3 linked regions of the Astyanax mexicanus genome follow. The protein of the gene in region 2 purifies or fractionates together with the protein of the main gene of each other region. This does not show direct contact. Links are inferred from orthologs where the notes say so. Each region holds a gene or a part of one and is shown on either strand. Other genes may lie near its edges.

Region 1 (7,312 bases), on a different chromosome or scaffold from region 2:
TTTATGAAATGGACAAACATTTATAGATTTTTTTCAACTGAATGTAAGAAACGTCTACATTTATTCTCATTAAAACTAATTTAAAAATACCTCACTATAAATACCCTGCAATATTGTGATATTATTTTAGGGCCATATCGCCCACCCCTACCTTGGACACATTTGCATTTGCATACACTGTTTTTGTTTTGCAAAACATACTAACAATACTGCATGTATTTTTCGCAGGTGTCATAAAAAAGGTGAAATAGAGACAGAAAGTGAGGAGAAGATCAAACTTGAGGCAGCGAGTGTACAATAGTGCTGATGAAGAAGGGTGAGCATTGTAATATATAATGATGAAAAATATAACTTTTTTTGTGTGCATTCTGTGTTGAATAAAGGCCAAAAAAATAACCACTACAAATGTATCATTATTATTATTATTATTATGTTCTGTATTAATTATTAACAATCAGTTACAATTGTTTTTTTTCCTGCAGGTGATCATACTGATGGCAAGACAGATGGAGAGAACTGGTCAGTGGTAACAGAGCACTTTTGGACATGCGGAGAACAGTTGGTTTGTTTCTGTTTCTTCCACTGTTAATTAATGTGGCTCAGTCCATCAGATATTAAAGCTGGAACTGTAATTATTTTATAAATAAATAATAACTGCGGTGATAATGGTAATTCGCTAAATACAGCAGTAATCATCAAATGACTGTAGTATGACCGTAATGCGGTAACAGTCACAGCCCTAGTTGCTCCCAAATTCTCAATTCTTGGAGCACACTCCTCCCCAGAGAGGTATGGTGAGATGCCTCACTCCTGATAAATCAACCTGTGTGTAATACAAATGAAGAAAGTCAATGAATGTAGCTTTGTGTTTGTGTTGTATGTATTGTTTCCCTTCTATTTATTTTTATAACTTAAAACGTTTTTTATTTATCTATTTATTTAGTTAAATAATCATTGTGTGTAAGTACTAAGTGCACTGCCGGTCTATGTAGTAGTTTGTAAATGGACAGTGATCTAATTCTTTTTCTGTTCTTTTGGCTTTGTGATTCAACATTTAAGAGTTTTCAGAGTCACAAAGCATAACTGCTACTGCTCATTCTGAAATGTTAAGAAATATTTATTGTATTTGTAATTCCAGCACACAACAGAAGTAAACAAAAGAACTTTCACTGTCCAAATACTTACACTACTGTATTTGTTTTACTGTATTTATTTGTAATTTTTTTTACATTTGTCTAATTTATCTTGTGAATACTGTGAAAAAATAAAATGTGTGTTCTTTTTAGACTTTGTACATAAGTTGTTTTGTTCTGCAGTATTATTTTTTTTTATGTTTCCTAAATTATTAATAAACAAATAAATAAATCAGGTAAAATGAAAGATATTAAAGTTGAAAATGTGTTTTATACTGACTACAACATACCACAAATATGTGTGAACATTTTTGTAGCTTATACACAGTCACTGACTAAGAGCTTGTCACTAGATGCTGCATTAATTAGTCAGTAGCGGTTAGATGTGTTGGTTCTGGTTCTCATACAGCAGTTATCAGGACCTGAACTCGTCTAGATTAGAGATGCATGAATACTGATACTGGCATTGGACATCTGTCCAATACAATGCTAAGTTGCTTGTAATGGCAAATGCGGCTCAGACAGCAAAAACTACACACAGTACCAGTCAGAAGTGTGGACACACTTTACCATTCAATGTTTTTTATTTATTTTCCCTTTATTGTAAATGAATACTGAAGAAATCCAGATTATGAAGAAACACATAAGGAATCATGTAGTAAAATTAAACATGTTAAAAATGTAAAGCATTTCAGAACTTTACAACTGATGCTCTCAAACACATTAATTTACTCTGGACAAGTTCAGCACAGCTGTTAACTGAAATCCATTCAAGGTGACTCTACTTTATAAAGCTGACTGAGGAAATCCAGCCAATATGTGCAAAGCTTTCATCTAAACAAGAGGTGTCTTCTAAAAGAAACTAAAATACAAAACATATTCTGGTTTGTTTAACATGTTTTGTTTAATAAACAAATCATAGTTTGGATTACTTTAATCTACAATTCAGAACAATTTAAACTCAATTTAAGGTGTGTCCTCTGGTACAGTATATATGTACAATTACGACACATACAGACAACCACAACAACGTCTATTACACAATTTCATCAAAGAACATTAGTCTCTGTCTGCAATGTCTGACTCCCAACCGCGTGTGTGATGTTGAGTGAAGAAGACTCGGGTTGCCAGATACGCTCATTAAGATACACCAAAAGGCTGTGCCTCCCTAAACCCTCAAATTGGCAAATAAAAAACACAATAAAACAGTCATTTCTGATTGTGGAAGCTCTCCACTCTTCCTTCAGACTCTGCTCCCTTGATTAAAAAATTAAATGTAAAGTTTACTGATGACCAGTGATGGTTTGGAGAGTCATGTCATCTGCTGGTGTTGATCCACTGTGTTTATATCAAGTCTAAAGTCAGTGCAGTGTTTTCCAGAAAATCTTACAGCACTTCATGCTTCCCTCTGCTGACAACTTTTATAGAGATGCGGATTTCATTTTTCAGCAGGACTTGGCACACTGCCCACACTGCCAAAAGTACCAATTTGCCTTACACATTGGCGTAGGAACCGGGGGGGATGGGTGGGACATGTCCCACCCAATATTAGAAACAGGTCGATTTGTCCCCCCCAAAAATTATATCGTTTCACTCAGATCAGCTGTACTATTAATGAGGAGACAGACCGGACCAATCACGGAGCCTGTTCAGGTATTAAGTCCCGCCTCTCAGTAGATTGGCAGAAACAGCCAATCTTGCTGGTTTTGCGGCGCGCGGAGGAGAGGCAGTTTGCTGTTGGGGAAGCCCCGCCCCCTCGCTGTGAGATTTAGCAGCGGGATCGGGACGCAGCAGCTTCAGCTGATTTTAAAACAGAGATGGATATACGGAGATTTTACTAAAAGAAAGGTAACGATAGGCTAACCACTTCAACTGTGATGATATGTTTCTGATAGCTGGTTAAAAATACACGTCTCTGAATCAGCACACAGTTTAAACCCACTGTGATTAATGAACTGCAGCTGTGTTAGTGAGTTAGCTTAACTTTGGAATGAGCTAGATTGGGAGTCAGGGTTAAAGAAAAAAAACTATATATATAATGTTCAACTTGCCCTGTACCTGATCAGCTATTCACTATTTCATTTTCAAACTTTGTTTATTAATTTAGGATTGCAGGACTTACTGTGAGCTATAATGAACGAAAATTAATTTAGCTAACTAGTTATCTAGAAGCTGCATGTAGTGGATAGCCAGAATTTAGTACAGTACTTTACGTTTGTAGTTTAAAGCAGTTTCTTAACCCTGGTCACTGCCCCCAAAATAGTGTTTTCCACCTGATCCAGCTGATCAGCTAATAAACAGTAATTTACTGAGTTTACCTGTTAAAACCCTTTAGCCCTCTATGGATCCTAAATTAATCATGTATATCCAGCAGTTTATTAGACACATCATTCCACCACTTACTCTATGAAATGCCTTTAAAGCAGAGTAAGCTGTAGAATATGCAGAATACACAACACAGAACAGTGTTAATATGCAGTAGAATATGTAAGAACAGGGTTGAGAAACACAGCTGTAACATGACTTCTGTTATGCGCAGGAGAAAATGTAAATATACGACAGAATTGACATGCCAATACATAATAATAATAATAATAACCAAATCTGTATTATTTTAAATATTAGGTGATAACTGATCATTATTGTCATATGTATATAATTCAGACATTGCATGCATATTTTTTTCTAACCACAGTAACTGTAACATGGAGTAACATGTTTAGATTGTAAAATCACCTTATAATAATAATTTACTTTTAATTAAAAGTAAATTCCACAAATGTTGTTCTAGGAAACTATAGAGTGGGCTTAGGTTCATATTGGCAAATGTGTCCCCCCCCCAATATCAAGCCCGCTCCTACGCCCTTGGCCTTACATAATATTCTAATTTTCTGAGACTTTGATTTTTGGGTTTTTATTGGCTGTGAGCCATAATCATCAACAATAAAATAAATAAAAACTTAAAATAGACCACTCTATGTGTAATACATCTATATAAAATATGAGTTTCACATTTTAAACTGAATTACTGAAATAAAGTAACTTTTCAATGGTATTGTAATGATATCTTAACTCTTCTCACAAAAAAGCCAAAGCAGCCTTCTGCTTCACCTTGGCAACCCGGAGTGGACTGTCTTCAGTACGCATGCGCAGACACTCGCCCTGCCTTCTGCAACATGGCAGCCCCCGTAGACCTAGAGCTGAAGAAGGTAAAGCGTGGCTGATGATCGCTGTTACGGTAGCTGTGGGTTTCTGAGCTGGGATTATTCTGTGTGATCGGGGTGTGAAACAGCTAAAGCGGGTTCTGATCAGGGTCTCTGATTAAACAGCACAGATATAAACTGAATAAAGCGGAGTGGCTAACAGTAGCTAATGCTACACAATACACAGCTCCGGGTTTATTATAGCTATTTACTTGGTTATTTAACGATGTATTATTGGTATTAGCCTCACTACTACCTAACAGTTTATAGAGGCTGTTATCCAGACACAGATTCCAGTTTAGGATTATTTGGATGTAGGATATGACCTTGGCTAGGTTTTAGCTAGCCACTGTAGCTAAAATAAATCCTTCCAATAATGCTGAGGCAAGGCAGGTTTATTTATACAGCGCATTTCACACACAATGGCAACTCAAAAAAGCTTTACATGAAGAAAAAAAAAACATTAAAACATCCCTGAGCTGTAGCACCTCAAACTTTTTTTGCAATGAATATAGTGCCAGTTAAAAAAACCAAAAGCAAAGAAATAAACAGTAAGAACCAAAAGAGAAAATATTTTGCAATAAAGTTGCATTCATTTCATTTTGAATAGTTTGGTCTAGGAGTGGGTGATATGACCCAAAAATAATATTATGATATTTCAGAGTATACAATATTCTTGGCGATATGGCACTGAATAAAAAAAAATAAGAATAGACTACTGCAACAAAATATGATATGGCACACCCCTAACTGATATATTAAAAAATAAAATAATTGTATCAGATTTGTAACAAAAGTAAAAAATACAGAATGTCATGATACTAATAATACACTCCATATAGCTCCATATATCCAGGACTGAAGTAAAATAAATATTACTGGACAGATATAATCTGCCTCTAGTAGATATATAATGGGAAATAAGACCAGTGTAAATTTTTCTTTAGCTAACAACAGCAAAAAAAAAAAATAGTACTCTGATGTGATAATTAGGGGTGGGTGATATGACACAATATTTCGGGGTATAATATACGATATAATATACGATATTAAAAAATGTTGGCCATATTATTGCGTACGATATGATACGTCACACCCCTAGTTGGAGCTCTGAATCTACACTAACAACGCTTATAGATAAAAGGTGCTTCCCAAAAATACCTAATATTAATATACAAATTACTATTATACAGTGCAGGCTATAAAATACACTACAAACAAGATTACTTATTTTAATGTCATTAAAGTTTAATGCAAACTGTACACATAAAACCTACTTTTGAATCAACATGAAATTGATGTGTATAAATAAATCACTTCTGACGTGGGTGACCAGTATTGTTTCAGTACATTAGCAATGGAAAAATGAATGTTAATGTTCAACATCCTTTTGCTATCTGAGTGGCTATTTGGTTTGTTGTCTAAATACTGGGTTTAGTAAGAGAAATATAGACTATTTGGGCTAATAAAGTCTTGCTCAATTGCTTAAGTGGATATGCAAAGAGGTGGTTATCAAAAACTAAAGAGCTGAATGTAGCATGTGGAGCACACAATGCCCGGATCTGGTGTGGACCATATAATAAAATATTTTTATAAATACTTAGTATTTAATTTTTATGCTTTTGTTTGCTTTGATTAGTTGTTACACATGGAAAAAAGAAAAAGTTCTGTAAAGATGTGTAAAATATCCTCTTGAAAAAAAAAATTACATGGTTTATCACAGTAGTGTTAAAATATTTGTTTTGCCTTTATGTAAATTGCCATTCAGTAGTATTAAAAATAACAATAAAAAGCAAGCAAATTTATACTGTGTTTACAAGCAAAAATACACTTATTGCAGAGATAAATGCTTTAAAATGATGTGGTAAGGTACCTAAAACGCTTGTAAAAAGTTCTGTATATTTATATTTTAAAGCATACTGTATATAACTACACTGTGTATGTTTTTGTCATGTTAAAGAGTTTTGTTGTTCTGAATTTATGTTTATAGATACTTCATTAATAGATATTGTGTTGTGTGTTGTGCTCTAGGCCTTTGCTGAACTGCAAGCTAAAATGATTGATACGCAGCAAAAAGTCAAGATCGCCGACCTGCAGATCGAGCAGTTGAGTCGCATGAAGAAGCACTCCAATCTGACACATGTGGAGATAACCTCCCTTCCTGACAGCACTCGGATGTATGAAGGAGTCGGGCGCATGTACGTATCTCAGAAATTATCTTTAGATTAGGTAATATATGGTGATTTTCGGTTTTAAATCCTATATTACCTGTCCAAAATGTCCAGACCTTAGATCTCTTTTAATTAGTTAATTCAATGACAGCACTCACAGCTTAAATCATCTTCACAGCTTGTAGAAGCTTTTATTGCAATTTTATAGCTCCCTATGAGTAATCTTGATTTCTGAAGAAACCTAGAGCATATTGGCTACGTTTAATTTACAAGCCACGTTCCTCAAATCAGATTTTCTTGATGGTTTACATTTATAAATGTAAGTGGTCTGTATCTGTGTGTAATGTGAACGAATCTGTCCCTGAAACCTCTCACATGCGCAGATTGATACGAGTATAAACGTCTTCTTCTTCACCAACAACAAAAAATGTCATATTTAAGAGATGACTCGTAAATGTGTAAAGGGAAATGGATGCGTTAGCAGCTCATATGTGGAGCATCTTTTGCTGGAGTGGAGAAACAGCAAACAGCTGGTCTGAAGTTCATGCTCAGGTCGAGGAGGTGAAAAAAGGCCAGGCGGTTTGCTTTTGCTGTTTTTGCAGCTATAGCTGTACAGCTGCACCAAGAGATGTAGTGTGGGTACGAGAGAGAAGCATGTAGTGCTAATGCTAATGTGTAAAAGCAAAAAGACGCATGAATTCTGATTTGACATATTCCATGGATATTTGCATGTCCATGGATCGAATTTGTATCTGATTTAGGACCATATATGAAAGTGTCTCAAATATGATTTGAGACGTTTACA
Region 2 (7,819 bases):
TCATGAGCTTTTTATACCCACATCTGGATACCTTGACCCTGGTGTTATATAGTGCATACAGTCCTTATATAGCCCTTCTGCCTCCATGCATGTGAGAAAAGAAAAATAACATAGTAAGTAAATATTCAGCTAAATGTTGGTTAAATGTCAGTTGAGGCATCTCTAATGGACCATCCAAATAAAGTCATACTGGTCTTTCTCTATAAGACATAATAAAACACAATTAACTGTTTATTTGTCCATTTCCATTCATTATTCATTTAATTAATCTAACTTAGAACAACTTTGGAGTCCTTTATAAATGTTTACTGACATCATTAATAGCTGTATAATATTATGTAAAGTCTCAGATCTTTCCACATTATTGTAGCCTGTATGCAAGATCAGCTGTTTTTCATAGTCAGATTTATTTTTAGAGATATTATATACAGATAAATGGTCCTAATATTATCCAATAAACAATTCTCACAGCCTCAGAAGGAACCATGTCTAGTCATTATGACTGTGCTGACCATATGTGCTAAACAAACACTTATAAATAACGAATAACAATAAAAGAACAAACATATACACACACATACTGGCACAGTCATGTAGCTGTAAAAATTTGCTAACAGTCTTCATATAGTCACGCCCTGCTCTGTTTCCCTGTGTTTTCTGCGTTTCCCCAGTTATTTTCCCTCACGTGTCTGTAAATTGTAGCTCCGCCCCTCGTTACCTGTCGCCCCAGGAGTTCATTGTTTCCTATTAGTATAAATAGTACCCTTTTGTCTATGTTTGGTCTTCGGTCTTTGCACCTTCCTCTGTCGTTTGTCTTGCCACGTTTATAGTAGTTTTTCCACGCTCCATAGTTCTTTGTTTATCAGTTATTCTCTGTTTATTCCGTGTTTCTATCTCTAGTTTGTTTCCTTGTTTATTTCTTGTATATATTTACGTTTATTTCCTTGCATATATCCCCAGCCCTGTTTAGTTATTATCTGTCTAGTTTAGTTCTTGGTTATTTTCCCTGTTTGTTTATGTATTTATATTTCCTCGTTTACTCCTTATTTGTTTCTTTGTTTATGTTATTTAATAAATCCTGTCTTACTCGCTTTTACGTCCGCCTCCCGTCTGCTCCACCATTACACATATATCACACACCATCAATACACATTTGTCACTGTCCAATGAAAAACACTCCAAAATCTCCAAAACAGCAACCTTACAGAAGAGAGAAAAAACCTTGTAAATGTTCAAAGAAAGTTAATGTAAAAAGAGTTTATTTCAGGTCATTATGAGGAGTTTCTATTGGTCTGTTCATTAAGAAATTTTGGGACAGTGTAAGGGATAGTTTGTCTGTTCAAATTATGTAGTAAACTAAAAATAGACAAAATAGAGATTAGTGTTTTTCATAGGACAGTGACGCTGTATATCTTATAGAATGTCTAAATGCCCTCCAACACCTAATATAACCCAGAGGGTTCTTCAAGAGGGATGAATCTTCATGCTATAGCTCAGCTGGCCTCATTTTCCTCAAGGTCAGCTGGATCAGGGTTTTAAGAGTCCTACTTTATGGTGATCTATAGATGCACAGCTACGGTTCAGAGAACACTGTGTCTCTAATTGCTGTGTTCCTGTAGCTTTATTTCACATTTGGGATTATGAAATGGAGCTGTAAAAGGGAGATGCCAAGAACACTGGATCAATACATTCAGTGCGGTTTCATTTTTTTCTGTCATTTAAGAAGGATTTAAACTGTGCAACAAGGCCATGTTATTGCAACAGCAATGAACTCTTATTAACCATTTCATTTGTGAATGGTATAAAGTGATTAAATGCATTGCTTTGCTGATGACACCCAGCTATACCTCTCATTCTCACCTGAAGATCACTCAATCTCTGCACGGATATTGCAGTGTCTCTCAGACATATCCTCATGAAGGAGCATCACCGTCAACTAAATCTCTCAAAGAGTGAACTTCTGGTTATACCAACAAAACCATCTTTTCAACACAACTTCTCTATAAGCATCGACTCTCTCTCTCTCTCACCGACAAAGGTTGCTAGGAACCTGGGTGTTATGGTTGATGACCAGCTCTCCTTCACGCACCATGTGGCCTCAGTTGCTCGATCCTGCCGCTTCGCGCTTTATAACATCTGAAAAATTCGACAGTTTCTGACGCAACAGCCCACCCAACTCCTGGTACAAGCAGTCGTCATCTCACGCCTCGACTACTGCAATGCCCTGCTAACTGGCCTCCCGGCCTGCGTAGTAAAACCACTCCAAATGATCCAGAATGCAGCAGCACGTCTGGTCTTCAACCAGCCAAAACGGGCACATGTCACCCCATTGCTCATTGAGCTCCATTGGCTACCAGTTAATGCATCAAATTCAAAGCTCTTACAGTCGCCAACAAGGTGATGACAGAACAGCTCCTTCCTACCTGCACTCACTCCTGAAGGCTTACACTACCTCCCAGCCGCTGCGCTCCTCCAATGAACGTCGCCTCACTTTACCAAACAAACATTCACACAAAGCAATCCAGACTGTTCTCATACAGAGTTCCCCTATGGTGGAACAAACTACCTTCCACTACCAGATCAGGAGAATCTCTCACTATCTTTAATAAACTCCTGAAGACAGAGCTCTTCAGGGAGCACTTACTCTCCTAACACCTCTAACACACTAACTACTTCTAACCTCATTTCCTTCTTCCCCTCCTTCACTCCTCTATCCCATTATTTCCCTTTGACCTCCTTTAGACCCTATCTAAAGATGTTTTTACCTTTAACTTATTACTTTTGTACTTCACTATTGTAAGTCTGCCAAATGTAATGTAATGTAAAATGATGTTTAGTTACATCGTTGAGCAACATCAAACTCACAACCAGAAAGAATCAAGACTTAAAAGAGCAGAAAATCAGACAGCAAAACAACAACATTAAATGCAACTGTATAACTAATGGATATACAGCAATGAAATATTAAGTCCATATGTGTGAGCATAACACTACATACATGTACAAAACCAGATATTAATATTAGAAGCTTTATTACAGGAAAATAATTATAGATATATGTTTGGAACATTAATATGATGAATATGTAAATAGCTCAGTATGAATAGTCATGACTGTAATGTTAGTACACAAGGATCATTGGTCCTCATTCACCAAAATCATCTTTCATTCTTGAGAAATGAATGCTGCATTTCTATTTGCTCAATGCCTCAGTTAATCCTTTTTCCATATTTCTCCACTCTGTAGCTGTTGATGTATAAGGGGATTCATGTGGGAATATACACTGACAGGTTTGAGTATAAATTTAGCTTTTATCCAGAAATAGCATCAGAACTGAGAACTAAAGATCCTACAGCAGAAACTGGTGCTCTATAAGCTGCAGCTCTGAGTTTAACAGCAGTAGCACTGATTTAGTCCTCGTCTGAAGTCTCATTTATACTCTTCCACTGACACACATTTCACATCTCCTGCGGTAACGTTCACACCCTAATCTGCTGTATCACCATGACAGCCCAGCGGCCCAGCAGAGCACAGCAGCAGCCCAGAGACACGTCACTAATAGAGACACAGTTCTCAGTACTAAAGAGCCTCACACTGAAGATTAACATTGCATAGAGAGAGAGAGAGAGTCAGAGACAGAGAGAGAGAGAGAGAGAGAGAGAGAGAGAGAGAGAGCATTAGAAAACAGGTGAATAAAAAGGAGACACACTGCCCAAAGTACACTGCTAAAAGTATGGATTGGATTTATATAAAATTTACATTTTCTGAGACACTGAGTTTGGGTTTTTTATTGGCTATAACCCATAATCATAATGCAATTTACTGAATGAAATGAATTACCGAAATAAAGTAACTTTTCAATTATATTCTTTTTTAGATGCACCTGCTCTGGGAAAAAAAAATAATAAAATCAAATAATAATAATGAGTTTCTTTGATTTTACCAAATTGAAAACCTCTAGAATATAATCAAGAAGAAGATGGATGATCACAAGCCATCAAACCAAGCTGCACCAGGAGTGGCATAAAGTTATCCAAAAGCAGTGTGTAAGACTGGTGGAGGAGAACATGCCAATGCATGAAAACTGTGATTAAAAACCAGCGTTATTCCACCAAATATTGATTTCTGAAACTTTTTATGAATATAAACTTGTTTTCTTTGCATTATTTGAGGTCTGAATGCTTTGCATATTTTTTGTTATTTCAGTCATGTATCATTTTCTGCAAATTTCCCGCTCCAAATGACAGTATTTTTTTTTTTATTTGGGAGAAATGTTGTCAGTAGTTTATAGAATAAAACAACAATGTTCATTTTACTCAAACATATACCTATAAATAGCAAAATCAAAAAAATGATTCAAAAACTGAAGTGGTCTCAATTTTTTCAGAGCTGTATATCTGTATCGGGTGCTTGAAGGCTTGTCCCAATTACACTCGAAAACAAGGGGTAGGGTAAAAAAGATAAATGGGATTGGGCCTTAGTGAGGGAGTGAGGGATTTTGGATAAATGATGCCACCTGCCGGTGGATCTGTGAACTGCTCCAACACACAAAACCCCGCTCTGTATCTGTACAATATGTAACCATATGAACAGTTTAAAATAAAATATCTGAGAATGTACCGCTAATAAAGCTCAGATTCAGAGCTTTAACTAAGCAGAAGCCTTTGATTATCAGCGTTAAACCCTCCGGGACGCTGCTGCAGCTTTATAAAGGCCGGGCGGCTGGCCGGAGAAACGCCCAACGTCACCTAAAGAGGAAGGGCTACGGGTCTTTCCAAAATGGCGACGACCATAGAGAGCAGCAATGCTGGAGCTGCGAGCAAGAAAAAACACCTCGGGATCCCCGAAGCGATCTTCGTGGTGAGTGAGCCGCGGACAGGGAGGTGTAAGAGGGCTCGGAGATGTTTTATAAGCCGGTTTGGAAGCTGTTTATCGGGGTTAAAGCCGTTAGCGAGCCCGCTGAGTTAGCGCGGTGCTGCAGCCTGGCCGTTTCCTTTTAAGGCTGTGGCCCAGGCTAATGCTGCTTTAAGAACAAATGGAGGCTAAAAATGAGATTTTCTGTGTTACAAAATCAGCAGTCTATATTTTTCTAGCAGCTACAGTGCATATAACTTAAGTTCATAACGGCTCTGATAGGTTTTCTCCTTATACTAGCCTTTTATTACTGTTCTGTAGTGGAGAGTTTTGTATGGCCCATTGACTGTAACGTTAATGATGAATAGTAGCATAGCTTGGTTAGCTGCTGCAGTAGTTTACTGACTACAGAGGCTGGATTTTATATCCAATATAATATTATAATTATTAATCTCCAAAATAATGATAGGTTGGTTATTTGGGTGTAGCACTATCAGCAAATAATGTAAATGTAAAGTCTAGTAAATATTGTAAAGCAAAATATTATTATTATTATTATTATTATTATTATTATTATTATTATTATTATTATCATATTAATATTAATAATAAGCCAATATAAACGTTTTTAATGAAAGACTTCTATAAAATCATTGTCTGAAGCACATAGATTTAATATTTTATATGTTACCATTAACATACAGTAACAGTCAATGTATATCAATGTGGACACCTCTTCTCGTTCAGTGTTTTCTTTCTTTTTATTATTATTTTTTAATAAATATATTTAGTTTAATCTCTAAAATAATGTTAGTTGATTGTTTGGGGTAGCACTACCAGCAAATAATATAAATATAAAGTCCAATAAATACTGAATAAATTCTCTTCTTCTTCTTCATCTTATTGTTGATTATCTGGAGAACATAGATTATATATCTTCATATGTTACAGTTACAGTTAACATATATTTCCATGGACACATGTTTTCTTCTTTGATTAATTAATTAATTTCTGGTAGAAAACCAGCAAATAATGTAAATGTAAAGTCCAGGAAATACTGTATAAAATAATTATATAAAAAAAAAAGGTTTATGTACTAGTACAACATCATATTTGCTAAATATATAGCTCGTAAGCATCATTCCTAATGGAATTTATACAGAATTTCACACTGGAAGATGCTTGTTATGACATATCTGCAAATGTATTATACTGTACAGAAAAAAATGCTGTAATCTTTATTTTTCAGTGTAACAGTAGTAAACATCACAAATGGAGAAGGTTTTTACAACCAAAAAGAAATGGAGAAGATTTACATCTGTCGATGTATATGTTTATTGTGCTTTATGTTGATGTATCATTAAACAATGGGCTAAAAGTGCTGCTGGTTTGTATCAGAGTACTGTTTACTGGAGTCATGACAAAGCAAGAACCAAGTCAGTTTGCCCCCTCATCCTTCTTTTTTTCAGGGACTTTTAGCCTCAGATAATTCTTTTCATTAACTGGACAAAATAGTATGTGCAAATATCACTTATTAAAGCACTTTTCATTATTGGGAAAGAAGCATAATGAACAAATCCAGTCTAAGCATATCATTTATAATTTTGCATGCCACTTTCATTATTGGGTTAATTTAATTATTGACCTGAGGTCCAGGTACATGACTGTCTCTTCTTTCTTTTAGGAGGATGTGGACTCCTTTATGAAGCAGCCCGGCAATGACACAGCAGATGCTGTACTAAGGAAGCTCGATGAACAGTATCAGAAATATAAATATATGGAGCTTAACCTGTCCCAGAAGAAACTCCGGTTTGTTTATTGTTATTATTATTATTATTATTATTATTGTGAGGTATGGCTGCTTTATTTTGTGTTTTTTTGTGGTTCTAATTATCTTATTAATTGTCCTTTACAAATAATGTTCTTTACAAGTAATGGTTAACCATTAGCCGGTTTTGTTCTAAAAGAATACAATGCTTTTGTTGACAGTTGAGTGTTCATTCCCTTGCAGTGGCACAGTGTTTCTTATCCTAAAGTCCCAAGTGAGCACAATTGGCCTTGCTCTCTGCATATATTTTTATATTAGTGATACCCAGTGGCATTTACCTTTTATTGGACGCTTTCTTCAGAGGAGATAAACTTTTTATCAATTAAAATTGCCTGACCTCCACAAATGCTGCCACTGTCACATATGCTACTTTGACTGCCTGTCATGGTTGGAATGCATTTAATGTAATGGTTCATCAGGACCTCAAATATGGTGTCAGACATAATTTGCTGTGTCATTGTGCTCTATTTATGAAGTATTTTAACATATTTCCAGTCCTAGTCATAGTGTGTGATTGCTGAAATGGGCTTGAAATGAGCCAGTACAAATCCTAGCGGTCCAGAAGTTGTGAAATGTGGAATTTTGCCTTGTTTAGGTTGAAAAGCCAGATTCCACAAATCAAGCAGACGTTAGAAATCTTACGGCACATGCAGAAGAAAAAGGTAAGCAATACTGTTAACTGTAGTAATAAAAATCAGCTTCTGTCTTTCTGCTCTCCTTTTTTCAGTCTACTCATTCAGTAATGTCTCCTTGTCTTGGTACAGGACACTACAGATCCAATGGCGACTCACTTCCTTTTGGCTGATAACGTGTACTGCAAGGCCTCCGTCCCTCCCACAGATAAAGTGTGTTTGTGGCTTGGGGTAAGTATTCAGCTCACACCTGAGGAGCAATGCTGGCTCAAAGGAGAACTTTAATTGACTTTTGGTGTAGTAAAACATGCTTAAAAGTTATACCTTTGTTAAACAGCCCACCACCACTCTCCTGCAGCTTTCTGAGGCCCAGTTATTTTGTGCTTTTTGCCAGGCACTCTGTACAACCGTGTCAGGGCATATTTTGCCCCAATAAATCGCTTTTTACACCGTTATCCAGGCTCAAAGTAGCTTCACATTTCTTTGGTAGAATCTGGAGAGCCCA
Region 3 (6,943 bases), on a different chromosome or scaffold from region 2:
TGTTTAGCAAGCATTGTAACAAGGCTTTAAGTAATAAAAACTATTACTCACTTTCTCTACAAAGTAACCAGTTCCCACATCTACCAATACATGTTCTACATCATTCAGGGTTCCTGGAACATACATCTGAATGATGCAGTTAAAGAAGTTAACACCACTTAAATGCATTATAAAACACACACACACACACACACACACACACACACACACACACTTAAAGAGCATTAATTGACTGTCATTCAGTTGGTGAAAAGGATACAGAGCTGGTAAGAGGAACAAGTAATTCTTTTCCTAAAAGAAAGGAAAGAAAGAAACACAAAGGACATTATTCAATGGAGTCCTCTATTTTGAATGTTTTAGGATTTTTGTTCTAACACATTTGATCAAACACTAAAAAGACCAACTTAAAAGTGGGTGTGTAAAAGCAGAAATAAAACTATGAATGATCCACATAGGAATGTAGGGCCAAATGTCAGAATCTCAAAGGTTAGTTTTGGGATCATTGACTCTAGTAATGGAAGTCCAGCCTATCCAATACAAGATGGGATTACGTTATTTTGATCACTAAACAATACTGTACTGTGAAATACACCAACTTGTGTTTAAGCAGGAAAATCACCGAACTGTTATAGACGCAAGTCATCCAGAACAGGCCTAGGTTTAACAAGCCTCACCTTCATTACTCTTTTTGAGAACATTCAGACTGTCCTTAGCTTCTACATACTTTGTTTGGACCACTTTCAACTGGGCTATGGATGAGGACAGGAACTCTGTTTCCTAGAAGCAAGATGAAGAAAACAGCAATGATTACGAATAATGTGCAGAGCAATAAAACAGTATTTTAAATCAGGAATACAATAATCATGCAACAGCAATATACACAGACATCTGAATGCTAAACCATTATTAACATTTACACGCTGCCTAAAACACAGGTGTGGTAGTGTATTGTAAATAGATGTTTTGAATTCTGCTCCTTCTCTGACATCTACCAAACAACTCTCCGCTGCTTATTAAGGTGCTTAGTCTTTCTCTATGTAGAAATAAGAAATTCCCTAATGCTACTAAGATTGTTTTTTTTGTGCCAAGATATTTTCTGAACACCCAGCATTGATTCATTTACAGTGGCAGCATTTTAAAGTTATTAGAAAAACAATGGATATCAAAAAGTTATATTTTCCTACTAATACTAATGATTGAGCATTTCTTAATTTTAAATCTTTAATTGTAATATCAAGGAATGTGACCAGAAAATATTTAACATAAGAAATACTCGCTTCTTATCCTGGCTCACACAAGCTTACCTAGCTAAGACAAAATACAGAGCAAACAAAGAAAAATGTGGTGTGGTTTTAGCTATTCAAATGAACTTTTTCACTCTAACCCATAAGAGCCCAGACCCATTTCATTATTACTAGATTGTTATTGTTATTGTTATTACAGTCATAATTATGACTGTAGAGCTTTGTTTGGGTTCTCTCTATCTTTTCTCTTTCTCTGTCTCTCTCTCTCTCTCTTGTTTCTTCACCAAATAGTGCGCTGGATAGATAACCGTTTTGTCTCTCTCTTCCTCTCTTTCTGCGACTGTCTCTCTCCGTCTCTCCCTCCATCTTTCTCTTTCTGTCTCTCTCGCTTGTTTCTCCGCCAAATAAAAAGCTTTAGGGCAGGAAGTAGGACACTCAGACTTACTCTGGCGTTATTCCACTATCCTATTTATTAATTCATACATGAACTAATGCAGCACTTATACTCACTCTGTAAATTTAACCCAACAGTCTGTTAAAGGCACAGTGTATAATTTACTGAATACTGGCCGTTTCATATTTCCTCCAGGCCATTTATATGGTAATCCTTAAGATTTTTATACTCAGCAAATTAAGTTGGAATTCAGAAATCTTCACCAACATTTACAATCCAATTTATTGTGCTCTCTTTATTCCAGCACCCTATGTTGATTTTATCTCCCCTCAAACATAAGTATATACTATTATTTTTTATTTTAATTATTATTAATTGACACCACCAATATACATATAATTGCATTTTACATTTCTTACATTCATTCTTTTATTTACATTTAAATATTCACTATAAAAATTTATGTCTGAAGAAAAACAAATTCGATTAATCGTAAAATTTCGTTGTGATTAATCGGATTACATTTTTAAATCAATTGAGACCATTTAAAAATACACATTTAATAAGAGCTACTTTATCTCCAGCACTATCCCAGCACTCCTACGTTCTGTTAATAGGGTCAGATGAAATAACTCACATTCACACACTGTATTGTAACGATACTCAGGATGATCAGTATGTCCCTTTATGAATAATTAAAGTGAAGTACAGAGTGCTGGAAGGAATTTTACTCCGCTTTTGAAGGGTCTGAGAGACACATACTTCCCCACGGGTTATTTTGGGGGTTATTTTAAAACAATCTCAAAACAAACAGCTGAATCAAAGTGCTGTACAATAAATAATTATAAAACTTAAAAAAATAGAAATAATGTGAGTGACAAAATAGAATTAAAAACAGTAACAGTTAGCTAAAGAAAAACAATAACGATGATTTGTAGCCACGCTGTATCTACATGTGGGCGGGTTGCACAGCAGATGCAGTTCTGCACTTAGTTAACCCTGTATTTGACAAGTTTAGCTAGGTTACATAAAAAGGGGGTGATTATAGTTAAATTATTTGGTAAGTTAGCTAATACTTGCAGCACATGGGGGGCGGGGGATCTGCCTCCTCTCTCTCCCGGTCTGAGAGCAGCTAGCCGGGAGCTAACAGCAGCGTGACCGCGCCTTAACCACCCCTCACCCGCACCCAGCCACTCTGTGGCTCCGGCCCCGAGGAACTCCTGTACACAGCGTTATCCTGCAAGCGTTTAATAAACTCCAGGAGCTCACCTGTTCGAGCTGAGTCTTCAATCCCTCCAGCTGAGACAGAGATAACTCAGTCAGATTCACCGCCATGTTGAGAAAAAGACAATAAGGGACACTTCCGGATAAACCGGAAACCGATAGAGACAAGCCTATATCAGTAATAAAATGTAACAAAATAAAAGAGTGTAATATATGAGCAGTTTAAAATAAATATAGATATATTAGAAATTAAGACAAAAACACAGAATTTAAAACAGTTTTATCAAAGCTTGTTTTACTTCTGTGACATGATTTTTTGAAGGAAAAAACAAAAGCACTGCTTAAAAAGAGGTTTGAAAAAAAAAGAAAAAAAGTGTAAAATCTTAATTTAATTTAATATTTATTATTATAAACATGCATATTTATTTTTAACTTAAATGCATTCAAAGTTAAATGTATTATATTAAAAATAACAATAACACGAAAGGGACTTTGTAACTATCAAAAAAAATGGTTTGTTGCCTGACGGCAACATCATGCCATAGAGGGTTTAGAATTCAGTATCACAAAATTAAATATAAAATGTTTCCTTAACTCATAAGAGCTCATACCATTTCTAAACATTAATATCAAATTCCAAATTAAATCAGAAATTCAGTGACCAGCTCATTGTAGATCTTTATTATTGTAGGCACATGACTGTAAATATTTTATGGTTAAATCCTGATGTAACGTAAATGACACTAATTTCATAACGTGTATTTTAATAATGTGCTCTAGAAATCAGGTTAATATTGGTTCTATAGAATGTAAACCAATTTAATTAAAGTGAGTTATTAAAACAAATGGAACAGATCCATAGAAGCAAAAATACAAATAACCCAGCACTAAATAAAGTGAGATTAACACCCATTTCACACTTTGTCCTGCAGTGATGATCTCACAATATTCAGCACGTCACAGCTTTTAAAAGTGGCAAATGATAAAAGTGATTATTAATCCTGATTTACTTGATTCAGTTTATCTGGCAAATCAAGTCATGAACTAAACTTTGTGTGTTAGTCTCACAAAAGACTAAACTTAACAAAGCCTTTTTATTGATTTGGTCCATCCCATTCCATTTTTGCTCAGTAGTCACAACCTCAAATATAAATCTACATATCTAAACAGTACCACTATAAATTACAATAAGACAGGCTGCTTAAAACTGGTGTTAATTTAAGGTTCCTCTGGTTTACTGTTTGTTACACAGGATTTATATCCTATCCTATCTGTAGAACCTTGTGATTAGGCTACATAAGTCTTAAATCTTTGGAGCAGAGACAAAATAAAATGGAGCCAAATCTATAATGGCTATTCCACAGAAATACAATTAAAAGGTGAGGGGACAATAAAAAGAACAAACAAGAAAACACCACTCACACCCACAAATGTTTCCATGAATTTAATGTATCTTATGCATTTGTTGCACAATTTAAGACTGAGAGTTAAAAACAGAAAATTTCACATTTCCTTACTTGCACAAATTAAAAAAGGCTTAACAATTTAAATACAATATTTCTAAAAACGTTTATAAAAGTTTAAGAAAATCACACATGCATATATTAAACATTAAAGAATTCCACATGAAGCTGAAATTTTAAATGGCTCAGTGTTGGTAAGTATGCATCAGCCATACCACACTTGATATTATAAACAAATCCAAAACTATACACAGTTTGCTTCAAAATCTGAATACTGTGACTGAACACATCTACTCTAGCTTCAGGTCTATTGTAGGTGTACAGGTAGGCCATATGCAATTGGTGCAGCACCAATCATGTGCTTGAGGTGTGTGGCATCTCGCGAGGTACTGAGGTGCTGAAGTAAAGAAGAACCTGAACCGCCAGACAGCCAAGACTGTAACAGGGCGGAAGTGAACCGATCAATGTCACGATCAGTTACATCCCACAAGTTCCCCAACACCAACGGGCTAAAGAAGGGAAATAAAAAAAAAAAACAGCAATTTACAGGGAGAAAGACCACAACAACGGTTTCTAGTGTTTAGAAAGAGAAGTATACCAATTAGGAAGGTGACAAAAAATAAAGTAGGATTCAATTTTAATTGAGAGTTAATAATGGGAATATATTTCTTGCTAAAAAGAAAATCCACATAACATGCACTGGTGGCCTACAGTTGAAGAAAGCTAAAGCTTGGAAGATGAGGTGGGAAAGAATTAGGTTTGAAATTCACCTAATAAATCTGCAGAAGATAGGAATTTCTAAAATGCAATTAAATAAAAAAAAAAAAATCTTAACCAAGTTCATTTGTTATTTGGAATTTATTTGAGAGTTTATTTTCTAGTTTGAGACAGTTGTTTTGTAGTGGGTTGTGCTATAAAGATAAACAGATTTTATCTATCCCTTTTATTTAGTCAGATACGTGCAGTCTTATTCCACTAAACTATATAATAGCCAAACATATATTGGTAACTAAATTAGGCAATAATACAGATAGTAAATATTTTCTGGATTGTCTAATTGCTAAATAATTATGAGGAAACATTTGATGAAACTAATTTTTGTAATCAATGGTTAAATGTAATTTGTCTGACAAAATGTTGACATCAGACTTTGAATTAGAATTAAATTCATACAGTATATAAGGTAAATTTATGTAAAAATAAAATTACCATCCAGCGATGAGGTAGCTAAGGATGATGCCGGTTCCCTCGAGGCAGCCCTGCACACTAAGTGCTGCACTACTGCAGCCAAAAAGCAGAGCCGCCGCTTGCACGGGTCCCTTCATCACCCTCTGAGCATCCAGGAAGCGTGCCCCTGCTCCATGTCCTACATAACTGCAATCCATAAAATAAAAGGCAAGTTTAGTCACTTTAAAAAAAAAAAAAAAAAATTGATGGTAATGAAGTGCAAATTTTGAGAGGCTCACTCACATATACAAGTCTTTGGTGGTTATTGCTTCCTGTAGTTTATCAGGATCAGGAGAAACTCCACACACTCCCTGCCATGTCTTCTCACTGAACAGCAAAAGGCAAAATTCACTTTAAGAAATTATACAGAGATTTGACCAGTCAAACAGCATGGTGGTGCATGCGTGTAATACAAACCTAGTAAACCAATCTCTGAAGCGCTTTTCAGTCTCAGGCAGGTTTCCATCTGGGTTCAATACAAAATAAACTTGCTGGGGATCTACACCACGTGACAGCACACAGTCTGAATTCATCTGAAAGTAGAGGAAAATACTCAAATAAATGACTCAAAACAATCTCAAGAAAATCATCCACAATTCAAGTAAAAATAAAACCTTCAAAATAACTAATAATGGCTGCACCTTTTGGAGATGGCCATGTCCTAGTACAGCCTGTAAAGAAGGCATGCGGGAGACAGAGCGAGGCCTCAAACAAGAGATGTTCTCCCATGGCAACCTTTGAAGGTACTGCATAGACACACACACAAAAAATATTAAAAACAAAGGATTTTTTGCCATCTGTGAAAAAACATTTAATCTTATTATAGCACTAGCAGCACTATACAAGTGTCATACTGTATAGTAAATTAATCAGTACGCAGACAAGACTTTATTTAGTAGTACTACCAAATTAAGAAGAAGGGTGGGAGAAAAAAAAAAAAAAAAAACTTTTCCTACCTTGTCTAAGATTAGAACTGTATGTCCTTGAGGCTCTTCCCTCCCTTTCAGTTCAGACACACCCTTCTGTAGAAGCTTCAGGAAATTTCCCTCCATCAGACCTGCACCCTCAGCCAATGAGTGTAGGTCTGATTGAGAGAGCAGAGGAGCTGCAGAAAGAACCACCTTGAGGCAGAAAAAAAGAAAATTTAAAATCATGCAAATGCACCTCAGGTTTTTGTTATTGCTGTATGACCAATAACAAAACACAGATCAATGCCTTTAGTAAGCTTATAATTTGTAAGCATCATACAACATTGTAGACACAGACCTTAAGCATGCCCGAAGTGATCTTTGCTCCTTCTATCGAGGCTTGGAGAGTTTCAAGCTGAACTTGAAGTTTAGGGTCAGAAGTCAAGGGGAGGAGCAAAGCTCGCCATATCCCTAAGGCCTCCT

Evidence for each region.
Region 1: the proteins of vbp1 (region 2) and pfdn1 purify together in Homo sapiens (affinity purification with mass spectrometry; 4 studies listed by BioGRID and IntAct, counting the BioPlex papers as one, with this or other methods). This does not show direct contact. The link is inferred for Astyanax mexicanus from reciprocal best matches to the Homo sapiens genes VBP1 and PFDN1.
Region 3: the proteins of vbp1 (region 2) and pfdn5 purify together in Homo sapiens (affinity purification with mass spectrometry; 7 studies listed by BioGRID and IntAct, counting the BioPlex papers as one, with this or other methods). This does not show direct contact. The link is inferred for Astyanax mexicanus from reciprocal best matches to the Homo sapiens genes VBP1 and PFDN5.

What each region holds. Positions count from the first base shown.
Region 1 is NC_064424.1:11,021,888-11,029,199, reverse strand, and holds the start of pfdn1 (prefoldin subunit 1), read left to right. Parts: upstream 1-4,235; 5' UTR 4,236-4,309; coding exon 4,310-4,342; intron 4,343-6,367; coding exon 6,368-6,534; intron 6,535-7,312. Other genes in the region: hbegfb (heparin-binding EGF-like growth factor b), read left to right, coding at 229-301. UniProt on the Homo sapiens protein: Binds specifically to cytosolic chaperonin (c-CPN) and transfers target proteins to it. Binds to nascent polypeptide chain and promotes folding in an environment in which there are many competing pathways for nonnative proteins.
Region 2 is NC_064415.1:17,237,741-17,245,559, reverse strand, and holds the start of vbp1 (prefoldin subunit 3), read left to right. Parts: upstream 1-4,712; 5' UTR 4,713-4,779; coding exon 4,780-4,860; intron 4,861-6,538; coding exon 6,539-6,663; intron 6,664-7,277; coding exon 7,278-7,344; intron 7,345-7,446; coding exon 7,447-7,545; intron 7,546-7,819. UniProt on the Homo sapiens protein: Binds specifically to cytosolic chaperonin (c-CPN) and transfers target proteins to it. Binds to nascent polypeptide chain and promotes folding in an environment in which there are many competing pathways for nonnative proteins.
Region 3 is NC_064412.1:17,137,554-17,144,496, reverse strand, and holds the start of pfdn5 (prefoldin subunit 5), read right to left. Parts: upstream 3,026-6,943; 5' UTR 2,974-3,025; coding exon 2,908-2,973; intron 778-2,907; coding exon 675-777; intron 292-674; coding exon 260-291; intron 127-259; coding exon 52-126; intron 1-51. Other genes in the region: espl1 (separin), read right to left, coding at 4,633-4,834, 5,535-5,699, 5,796-5,879, 5,970-6,085, 6,194-6,298, 6,509-6,673, 6,819-6,943. UniProt on the Homo sapiens protein: Binds specifically to cytosolic chaperonin (c-CPN) and transfers target proteins to it. Binds to nascent polypeptide chain and promotes folding in an environment in which there are many competing pathways for nonnative proteins.